3 linked regions of the Xenopus tropicalis genome follow. The protein of the gene in region 2 purifies or fractionates together with the protein of the main gene of each other region. This does not show direct contact. Links are inferred from orthologs where the notes say so. Each region holds a gene or a part of one and is shown on either strand. Other genes may lie near its edges. The genes, in order: prkaa2, prkag2 and prkaa1.

Region 1 (3,658 bases), on a different chromosome or scaffold from region 2:
CCCAACATTGTTACACAAGGTCCAAAGCATGATGGGACATTTACTGCAGAAAAAAAACAAACTAAACCTTACTGGATACACCTGCTCCAAGTATACTTTTTAGAATAAAACAGGTATAACGTCAGACTGATTCCTTACCATGTTGTTTACCTATCTATATATGTCAATACAAATTAGGGATGCACGGAATCCAGTTTTTAGGGTTCGGCCGAACCTCCGAATCCACCGCAAGGGATTCAGCCGAATACGGAACCGAATCCGAATTAGCATATACTAATTAGGACTTGGAAGGGCTAAATGAAGCTGCGCACTTCCACTTCCGTGTTACCATGACAAAAAGTCATGTGATTTTTAGGATTCGGATTTGGTTTGGCCAGGACCGTGGATTCGGTGCATCCTTAATAAAATCATCATTTTTTGTTCAGCAACAAACTGAGTTGACAGTACAGTGGAATTTCTCTCTTCTATCATAAAAGTTCATTTTCTCTTTGATGTGTTAAATAGCAATAGTGAGACATATAAAGTGCAGAATGCTCTATTTGAACAATAAATAATGGCATTTTGATTGGTGATCCTACATTCCTGCAAAAAAAATATAAAATATATACAGATAACATATCAGTGACAAAACAATGCACATAACATTTCATCTCTTGGCACAAGGAAGCTTTGTCTATAGAATTGTAACCTGGTGAACTCTTACCATCCCCTACAGCCATTTGTTGCTGTACTATTGGAGAGATGTAGGTTGGCCGTGCTGGGTCTGAGAGAAAAAACCCTCTTGTGCTCTAATTGCTACATAAATTCACATTACATTAAAGCTTAGACATGGAGGGTGTATATATATATAATTCCGTAAGGAAGAGCAGAAAAGCAAACAATGACCCTTGCTGATCAGTGAAACACTTTCAATTGTAAGCAACTACCCTACTTGCATTGTTGAACCAACCTCCACTTCCTGGCCAAGAACCTCCTGGAATTGCAGAGCAGCACCCATTGCACACCCTGCAACTGCAGTATCATTGCACATTCCCTATATTATTCTTTTTCAGAATAACCATATCAAAACAAGACAAAAGTGGCAATCGCTCGAAGCAGAACATAAAAAGTGATACAGTGAGTTATACATCAAAAGCAGCCTTTGTAACCTTTTACTGAATGGATGCTTAGTACATAAACATTACTTAATGAAATTAAGTTTACTTCAAATAGCTTCTTTCGTTTCTTAAACCTCTGTTATTTGCAGAATACAAATACTATTCAGTAAATTAAAAAAAGGCAATTTCATCTGTGTCAAATGAGAGTAATATTCTTATAAAAATAAAAGCTGCTTTTCATAACTCTACTACCATAATATCAAAATAAATATGTCATTTTCATTAATAAGTTAGCACACTAATAGTAACTAAAGAAGCTGTTTAGTATTATCAGTCTGCATCGTTCTATGTCACTTCCAATTCTGCAGTATAATTCAAATGATAAGGTACATTAAACAGCAGCTCTTTTAGGGTTTGTGGTGTCTAGGTGCTTAAAAGCTTGCACTGTACACAATGCCCAAGGCAAAAAAAATAGCATCAATTAAATATTCACAGTGCTCTCTAACAAAATGTGCAAATTCTCACTGCTTGTTAACGAGCCAGCGTTGTAATCAGACTGGCACACATTTCAAAGAAATCCATGGTATGGCTCCCCAAGCGAGGGTTAACTAAACTAAAACTGCCTGAGAAAGAGCCAAACAGAGGTCCACTTGGCGCTGAATAGTCTGATGTGCTCGAGTCAATACTCAGGCGTGGTCTGTGCAGGCCAGCTGCAGAGCAAGAACGTTGAGGGGTTGAAGAACCTGATTTTTGTTCCATGACTTCATCTGGAATACAAAGTTGCAACATGATTACAACGGTTTGCTCTGTATATTACATTGGAAGGTTTTAAAACCAGTTGTCAGGACCAACAAAGGGTGTAATTTTGTGAGATTAGCCCTACTTGTGGCCTAATGTAGTAAGTGGCGGGTTTTATATATATAACACACTGTGTTGTCCTTGGTTCTAACTGCTTCAGTGAGTGTGTTTTCTCACCTGTTCCAGTCCTGAATAATGGTTTGTTCCTGGCCACAAACCCTAACCTTGGCCTGTCCTTGACATTTTATCTGTCTCCCTTTTGTTGGAATCTTGCTTCTTGTTTTATTTTCCTCTGTCAGTCCCTGCCTTGTCAGTCAATGTGCCCTTCCTTGCTGTCACCCTCTGACTGTCCCTGTCTATCACCTTGTTTCCCTGTCTGAGGCTTCTTTTTGGCTGTCTCCCTCCTATGCTTCTGATCCTGCTCCAGCCTGTCTTTAGTTTATGCTCTTAGATTAAAATAATCACTTAAAATGTATGCTACCGGAATTGCTTAAAAAAGTTGTGGGTAAAAGGTTTATCAACATAAAAACTGAATAGCAAGTTTTCCTTTATTATACACAAATGGTGCACATGTGCCTGCATAATATAGTTTCAAGAGCAAAAATAAAAGCATTATGGTACCTATGCAGCACCCTTTCCTTGGCTGCTAAATCTGTTGCGCAACAACATATTTACTTTACTCATGTATAAAGATACAAGACTCCAGTAGTACTCTGGTTGCTCCTGAACTACAAATCCCAGGAACCACTGAAGGCTGAAAGTTGTCAGGGGCTGGTTGGAGTTACAGTTAAGTAACAGCAGGAGAGCTAAAGGCTGTCACAGTCCTAATAAGAATCACTAGGCCTTTATAAAAGGGATTTCTGTCTTACCGTCAATACTTTTGAAGTCCAAAAGGTAACTGCGATTATCAACCTGGTAGAGCTGCAGACTCATTTTCACATAAGTACCAGTCACTGGATTCTTTCTTCTCACACGGAGATGATAAGGGTTAACTACCTAAGGTACCAAGGATTTGGTTAGACTCGCAGCTTTGTTTAAAGGAAAACTATACCACCTAAATGAATACTTAACCAACAAATAATTTATATCATATTAAGTGGCCTAATAAAGACTCTTATCAAATTGGAATATATATCAGTAAATATTTCACTTTTACATCTGTTATCTCATTGCCATCTTTTCCCTCAGAGATCACCTGACGGTAAATACCGTATATACTCGAGTATGAGCCGAGTTTTTCAGCACCAAAAATGTGCTGAAAAACTAACCCTCGGCTTATACTCGAGTATATGGATTCGAAGATGGAACGAGCTTGTTGTGTGCACCCCCCCCCCCCGAGGATGGACGCTTGCACGCGGGGGGGGGGGGGGGGGATTGCGCACAACAAGCTCGTTCCATCTTCGAATCCATATACCACTTCTGCGACAGTGTTCTACAATCTGCTGCTCAGCTCCTGCCTCAGGACACAATGCACTAGGTATTAGGTATTTGACTTAACTCTTCCTACAGACAGTTAGACAGCATTCCTGTGTTAAGCTGAGCTTCCCTGATCTGGTTGTCTACCTGCCATATACTGTACATCCAGATGGTTGGGCAATATGCTCAAAATTAGTCTTGGTCCAATCAAATATAAGCACCTATGGCCAGCTTAACTGAAGCACTCTGGCTTTATACGTGGCTGGAACTTTGTCATTAGGCATTAGTTTACCTGCATTAGGTTACCTGTGTAGCACAATGGGCCATATTTACCATTTTTTCCTCCC
Region 2 (3,658 bases):
AGGCCCATAGGTTATGCACACAAGGGTCTGCCAGGCATAAAATGCCAATAGCTTTACTATAATTCCCAGCATCCTTAGCCAGTCGGAACAGTCTCAGGGGCTGCTGGGATTTGCATCAGAGAAGAAAATCTGTCGGAATATTTGGAGCAGAAATGAAATGGGTGTCACTGAGAGACTTTTACTTAACAGATGGCGGAATCTGTCTCGGCGCGGTGATAGCGGCACAGCTTGCCTCTCGGTACACTGCATTCCCATTCCTCTGCTTCATCTGCTCATTAATAACCAGCCCGGGGATACAGCCACACACTCTCAGCCCCATATGGGTGCTCCGTGTTGGGCGCAGTAACGGTCTGGGCGCTTTGGACCCATGTTCTTCAAATAATGGCTTCATAGGGTTAAAGAAAAATTAAGACATATGAATGCTATCCAGAGGCTTAAGGGCTTACTTACGGGGCTACTAAGAACCAAAAAGGGAAATTAAATAGATTGTTTCCATCTGGCCAACCTCTGCTAATGTGCAGAACTCTTGGCAGCAACAGCCTTGTTCAATGTATTGGGTCACCGGCCAACCCAGAAATGCACTGGCCGCACTGGCCGCGCTCCCTGACCCAGACAATTTGTGGATGTGGGTAGTTAGCTTGTATACTGATCACCAGTGGGGACAGTTGGTCAGCGATGGCTATTGCCATTGCCAACTTCTTCTTGGATGGTTTGTTGCAGCTGTACAGAAATGGCCCCATCATCCAAATACATGGAGGCCCGTATTATCTGATCATTTCCTCTGTCTGAAACCCTCTGCTGCAGGGGATTAAACTGCAATGGCTGAATCCTCCTCTTTTTTAAAAATCACATTCCCATCAGTCCCTGCCCCAGTGAGCTTACAATCTAAGGTCCCTATCACATTCCCATCAGTCCCTGCCCCAGTGGAGCTTACAATCTAAGGCCCCTATCCCATTCCCATCAGTCCCTGCCCCAGTGGAGCTTACAATCTAAGGTCCCTATCACATTCCCATCAGCCCCTGCCCCAGTGGAGCTTACAATCTAAGGTCCCTATCACATTCCCATCAGTCCCTGCCCCAGTGAGCTTACAATCTAAGGCCCCTATCACATTCCCATCAGTCCCTGCCCCAGTGGAGCTTACAATCTAAGGTCCCTATCACATTCCCATCAGTCCCTGCCCCAGTGGAGCTTACAATCTAAGGTCCCTATCCCATTCCCATCAGTCCCTGCCCCAGTGAGCTTACAATCTAAGGTCCCTATCACATTCCCATCAGCCCCTGCCCCAGTGGAGCTTACAATCTAAGGTCCCTATCACATTCCCATCAGTCCCTGCCCCAGTGAGCTTACAATCTAAGGTCCCTATCACATTCCCATCAGTCCCTGCCCCAGTGGAGCTTACAATCTAAGGTCCCTATCACATTCCCATCAGTCCCTGCCCCAGTGGAGCTTACAATCTAAGGCCCCTATCACATTCCCATCAGTCCCTGCCCCAGTGAGCTTACAATCTAAGGTCCCTATCACATTCCCATCAGCCCCTGCCCCAGTGGAGCTTACAATCTAAGGTCCCTAAGGCATTGTCGGAAGTAATGCCATTCAAACACAAAGGGGGGGGGGGACGGGGAAATGAACGTGTTGCATCTTTTGCACAGGTGCCAGGTTGTGACTATATTGGACTATTGTGTGCAGGTTGCATTGGGTGCATCTTTGGGTACGCCTGAAATTATGGCGGGGATATAGCACTTTTTAGACATTTTCCCCCCTTCTCTTGCAGTCGGTGTAGCAGAGGGGGTTGTTCAGATGACACAGGACTGACAGGGCTCAGTTCTTATTGTCCCTGGGCCAAGGCTGGTGACTTTTAATGTCTAAGGATAATCAGTATAAAGTGGCTTTATGGCTAATGAGGGTTTGTGCATCCTGTACGGATCAGCATGTGCAAATGGATCCTTGGGCTTTCTGACTCTCTAACTCCCCGTATCAGCAGCTAGCCCTGTGCTGTATTCATGCAGAGACAGTACGGAGTGTTCCATTCCTGAGCACAGCATTATGGGAAGGGCAGGGGGGAAGCTACAGGGTAGAGGAGAGGGTCATTCGGCAGCACTATCCTTTATTTATATAGCACCAACATGTTCCATCAGCCCCTGCCCCAGTGGAGCTTACAATCTAAGGTCCCTATCACATTCCCATCAGTCCCTGCCCCAGTGGAGCTTACAATCTAAAGTCCCTATCACATTCCCATCAGTCCCTGCCCCAGTGGAGCTTACAATCTAAGGGCCCTATCACATTCCCATCAGTCCCTGCCCCAGTGGAGCTTACAATCTAAGGTCCCTATCACATTCCCATCAGTCCCTGCCCCAGTGGAGCTTACAATCTAAGGTCCCTATCACATTCCCATCAGTCCCTGCCCCAGTGAGCTTACAATCTAAGGTCCCTATCACATTCCCATCAGTCCCTGCCCCAGTGGAGCTTACAATCTAAGGTCCCTATCACATTCCCATCAGTCCCTGCCCCAGTGAGCTTACAATCTAAGGTCCCTATCACATTCCAATCAGTGCCTGCCCCAGTGGAGCTTACAATCTAAGGTCCCTATCACATTCCCATCAGTCCCTGCCCCAGTGAGCTTACAATCTAAGGTCCCTATCACATTCCCATCAGTCCCTGCCCCAGTGAGCTTACAATCTAAGGTCCCTATCACATTCCAATCAGTGCCTGCCCCAGTGGAGCTTACAATCTAAGGTCCCTATCACATTCCCATCAGTGCCTGCCCCAGTGAGCTTACAATCTAAGGTCCCTATCACATTCCCATCAGTGCCTGCCCCAGTGAGCTTACAATCTAAGGTCCCTATCACATTCCCATCAGCCCCTGCCCCAGTGAGCTTACAATCTAAGGTCCCTATCACATTCCCATCAGCCCCTGCCCCAGTGAGCTTACAATCTAAGGTCCCTATCACATTCCCATCAGTCCCTGCCCCAGTGAGCTTACAATCTAAGGTCCCTATCATATTCACACACACTTGAGGGGCAATTTTATCAGGAGCCAATTAACCTGCCTGTGTGTATTTGGAGTGTGAGTGTAACATTATGGATGACTACAGGTATTAAATATGAATTCATATTTTTACATTGTATGTACACAGTGCAACCCCTCTCATATTAATGTCAGAGCAGGAGCTGCCATATTGCTTGCCCACCTGATGTCAGCTTTGCATTTATTTGTTTTAAAGAACATTGAGAATGTTGTATATTAAGGTAGGCAATATGGCAGCCGCCTTTATGCTCTTGTGTGTCAAGGCTGAAAGTAGAAGAGAAAGCTTGCTCATAAAATAGATTTAATTTCCTGGGTGAAAACATATATTAGCCAAGGTTTGCTTCTAGAGTGACTAAATGCTAATACCCATGATGCTTTGTCTTTCGCAGCTGTTGAAGAATCAGAAAGTGACATATATACGCGCTTCATGAAATCCCACAAGTGTTACGACATTGTCCCAACCAGCTCCAAACTCGTTGTATTCGACACTACGTTACAAGTAAGTGCAGCCGCCCGTGTTTGCTCCATATTACCTATATTACAAGTATCCAGTTATAGTTAGGGACATACCATCCAGGATTCAGTTGGGTAGCTGGAAAGTCGGCCTCTCCCTGGTATGTATTACTGTATATT
Region 3 (2,874 bases), on a different chromosome or scaffold from region 2:
TCCATGTGCAAGAGACTAATTTCCCTTATTATTTTTCCCATATTGAGGTTGTAAATCCATACTACCTGCGCGTAAGAAGGAAGAATCCCGTTACTAGCATGTACACTAAGATGAGCCTCCAGCTGTACCAAGTGGATAGCAGAACTTACCTGCTGGATTTCCGCAGCATTGACGGTATGTGACATTTCTGTGCTACTTTCGGAATAGTAATGCCAAATGTTTGGCTGCTGATGCCTTTTATGGTTTTTATTACCTTCTACCAGCCTGTCACAGAGGCAGTCGCAGCAATAAAACTCTGGGTTCCCATCATTTCCGTCAGTTGTTTATATTAATTACTTAAGGGCCTTTGTCTAAACCCAGAATGGCACTCTACCTCTGAAATTGTACTTCATGCAGTAGCTTATGTATTACCTCACTAACAGTAATGTTTGTTCACGTCAGTGTTAAAGGAGCCTCATGTCCTAGTATTATATTTTACCTTATTTTAAATGATTAGTGCCCCAGAAACATGGTTTTAAACTGTTTTTCTTAAAAATGCTATAATATTAGAGATGAAGTGAGACCTGGGCTTGCCCTTTCCTTCCTTCCCAGGATATGGTCATAACTGTGAGTGACAATCAGAACTTTGCTGCAGCAGCCCGAGTCCTGCCATTGTCTCTCTGCTCCCAGCCCTATCAAACTGTGTCAGAATGCTCCTGCTCACAGTGTTTAGTGGAGCTGCAACTTTCCTCCAAGCTGTAATTAAGATGGCCACACACAGCGCAGATTTTGGCTTCCTATTCAGATCCTTCATTCCTAGTGGCACCTTATCTGCCCATGTATGAGGCACTCTGTCTTGCTTATCCAGCAAAAATTGGGCACATATTCATCAGACGGGTTTAAAAAAATCTTGTTGGGGCGATGACCGTATCTGGTCATTGATGGGTGTCCTTGCCCCAATGGCCTGTATCCCCGACGTTAAACTAGCAGATCAGCCCCAGATCATTCAGTGTGTGGCCTGCTTTACTGTGTCCCAATATCAGCTGTTAGATCTCATTCCAGAACTTTTATTCGGCCATTTTCTGCTGTGTATAACAGCCTCCAACAGTAGTTCCTAGTATACTATTGTGTGGCCTGTCTGCTGCTAGCAGCAACTCCCTTCAACCTTACATTGAGCAAATTGCAATTTATATATTAAGTGGCCTTCAGCAATCACAGAAAACTTACCAGCTCTGAATAGAAGCAGTAGCATCTCCATTATAGGTGGACAGCTACCTTCTCATTATCCTATAGCGCAAATCTGCTCCCCCAGCTGAAACAATCGGGTTAAGGTGAAAGTGCTAAAAGAAAGGCACAATTAAATTTTTTTGCTTTTATTACTATTTAACAAAGCTGGAAGCAGGGAGACATTTAGGAGCAGAGGGACATGGACTACTATTGTAGCATTCTGCTCACCACATTATGATAATGGGAGTCTGAAGGTGAACATACATGGGCAGATTGAAGCTGCTGATTCGACCACTTCAGGCCAGGTTGGCATCTTATCTGCGCATGTATAGGACTCTCCAACAGGCATACCTGACCAGTATATGACCAAAAATCAGCCTGATATGTGGCAGGTGTGAAAATCCTGTAGGGGCCAGTTCATGGTCTCCTCCCACTCTAAAAATATACAGATTAATTGTCACTATATATCCTGCACTCTATAAATAACAGATAATTCTAGTAACAACATACATTTTACACCATAAATTGCTGGAAATAATTAAGCCTATTGTTCTTTTCAGATGAAGTAACTGAGGCCAAGTCGGAAAGCGCCACCCCTAGGCGATCAGGCTCCATTAGCAATTATCGACCTCCAAAAAATGACTCGGATCCTGAAATTCAAGCGAAGTCTTCAGACGGCTCAGGGCCTTCATCTTTAACCTCATCAGTGGACTCTTCCAATGCCGACCTAGTCCCCAGGCCAGGAAGCCATACCATAGAATTTTTTGAAATGTGTGCAAATTTAATAAAAATCCTTGCACGATAGGCCTCCGGCAACATAAGCGAATCCATATCGAGCAATAAGCATGCAGTGATCTGTAGCCAAATGCTTCCAGTCTCAATCCAGTTATGACCGACCAACAGCTGAAAGCTCTTGTCACAATGCAATTTGCACATACGATTCCAAGACTATGTTAGACCTCAATCCGTAGTGTGATCATTATTTTTAATAGTTCCTTGTCAACGCATATAAATTGTATATATTTTTCAGGTTGACAAAAGTTTTAATTGCACATTTTATCGAGCACTGGGCTACTTTGCATATTCCCAAGATAAACCTCAACATCTTGTCTTAAATTTGTTATTTTTTTTCTTGTCTTGTGAAATACATAGAAGTGATCACATGATAATTTAGTGGTTTAAGCATGCCGGCCATAATTCTGCAGCTTAAACTCCACTGGGATAGATCAGTCTGGTGAATAAGGGCAGTAAATGTGGATATCAAAAGGCAATTTGTACAAATATATAATAAAAAAAGGATTTTTTTTTTTTTTTTTTTAAGGATAAGGACTCATGTATGTACTTTATGGCTAGCTATTATTTACATGTAACTTTCACTAATATATGGGGACGTTAGAACAATCCATTGGCTGTTTATTGTTCCTAAGCTGTTTAGCTTCCTTTGCAACCTCAAAGCTAGAGGTCCAAGCCCTCGATGCTCTCCCATGGCTGATTTACAAATGACATAGCGCTTGGAATGTAATCTATATTACAAATTGGGATAATTGTCCCATTGCATAGAAAGTGGTCGGATCAGACTGGCCTACCAGTGGAGCTAGACCAGGGGTGGGCAAACTTAGGGTCAGGGGCCACATTGACTTTTAAAATTTGACAGACTGGTCGGGCCAG

The links.
Region 1: the proteins of prkag2 (region 2) and prkaa2 purify together in Homo sapiens (affinity purification with mass spectrometry; 5 studies listed by BioGRID and IntAct, counting the BioPlex papers as one, with this or other methods). This does not show direct contact. The link is inferred for Xenopus tropicalis from reciprocal best matches to the Homo sapiens genes PRKAG2 and PRKAA2.
Region 3: the proteins of prkag2 (region 2) and prkaa1 purify together in Homo sapiens (affinity purification with mass spectrometry; 8 studies listed by BioGRID and IntAct, counting the BioPlex papers as one, with this or other methods). This does not show direct contact. The link is inferred for Xenopus tropicalis from reciprocal best matches to the Homo sapiens genes PRKAG2 and PRKAA1.

What each region holds. Positions count from the first base shown.
Region 1 is NC_030680.2:87,563,170-87,566,827, forward strand, and holds part of prkaa2 (5'-AMP-activated protein kinase catalytic subunit alpha-2), read right to left. Parts: intron 2,892-3,658; coding exon 2,765-2,891; intron 1,865-2,764; coding exon 1,629-1,864; 3' UTR 1-1,628. UniProt on the Homo sapiens protein: Catalytic subunit of AMP-activated protein kinase (AMPK), an energy sensor protein kinase that plays a key role in regulating cellular energy metabolism.
Region 2 is NC_030682.2:14,472,406-14,476,063, reverse strand, and holds part of prkag2 (5'-AMP-activated protein kinase subunit gamma-2), read left to right. Parts: intron 1-3,414; coding exon 3,415-3,524; intron 3,525-3,658. UniProt on the Homo sapiens protein: AMP/ATP-binding subunit of AMP-activated protein kinase (AMPK), an energy sensor protein kinase that plays a key role in regulating cellular energy metabolism.
Region 3 is NC_030677.2:195,923,955-195,926,828, forward strand, and holds the end of prkaa1 (5'-AMP-activated protein kinase catalytic subunit alpha-1), read left to right. Parts: intron 1-47; coding exon 48-174; intron 175-1,766; coding exon 1,767-2,011; 3' UTR 2,012-2,322; downstream 2,323-2,874. UniProt on the Homo sapiens protein: Catalytic subunit of AMP-activated protein kinase (AMPK), an energy sensor protein kinase that plays a key role in regulating cellular energy metabolism.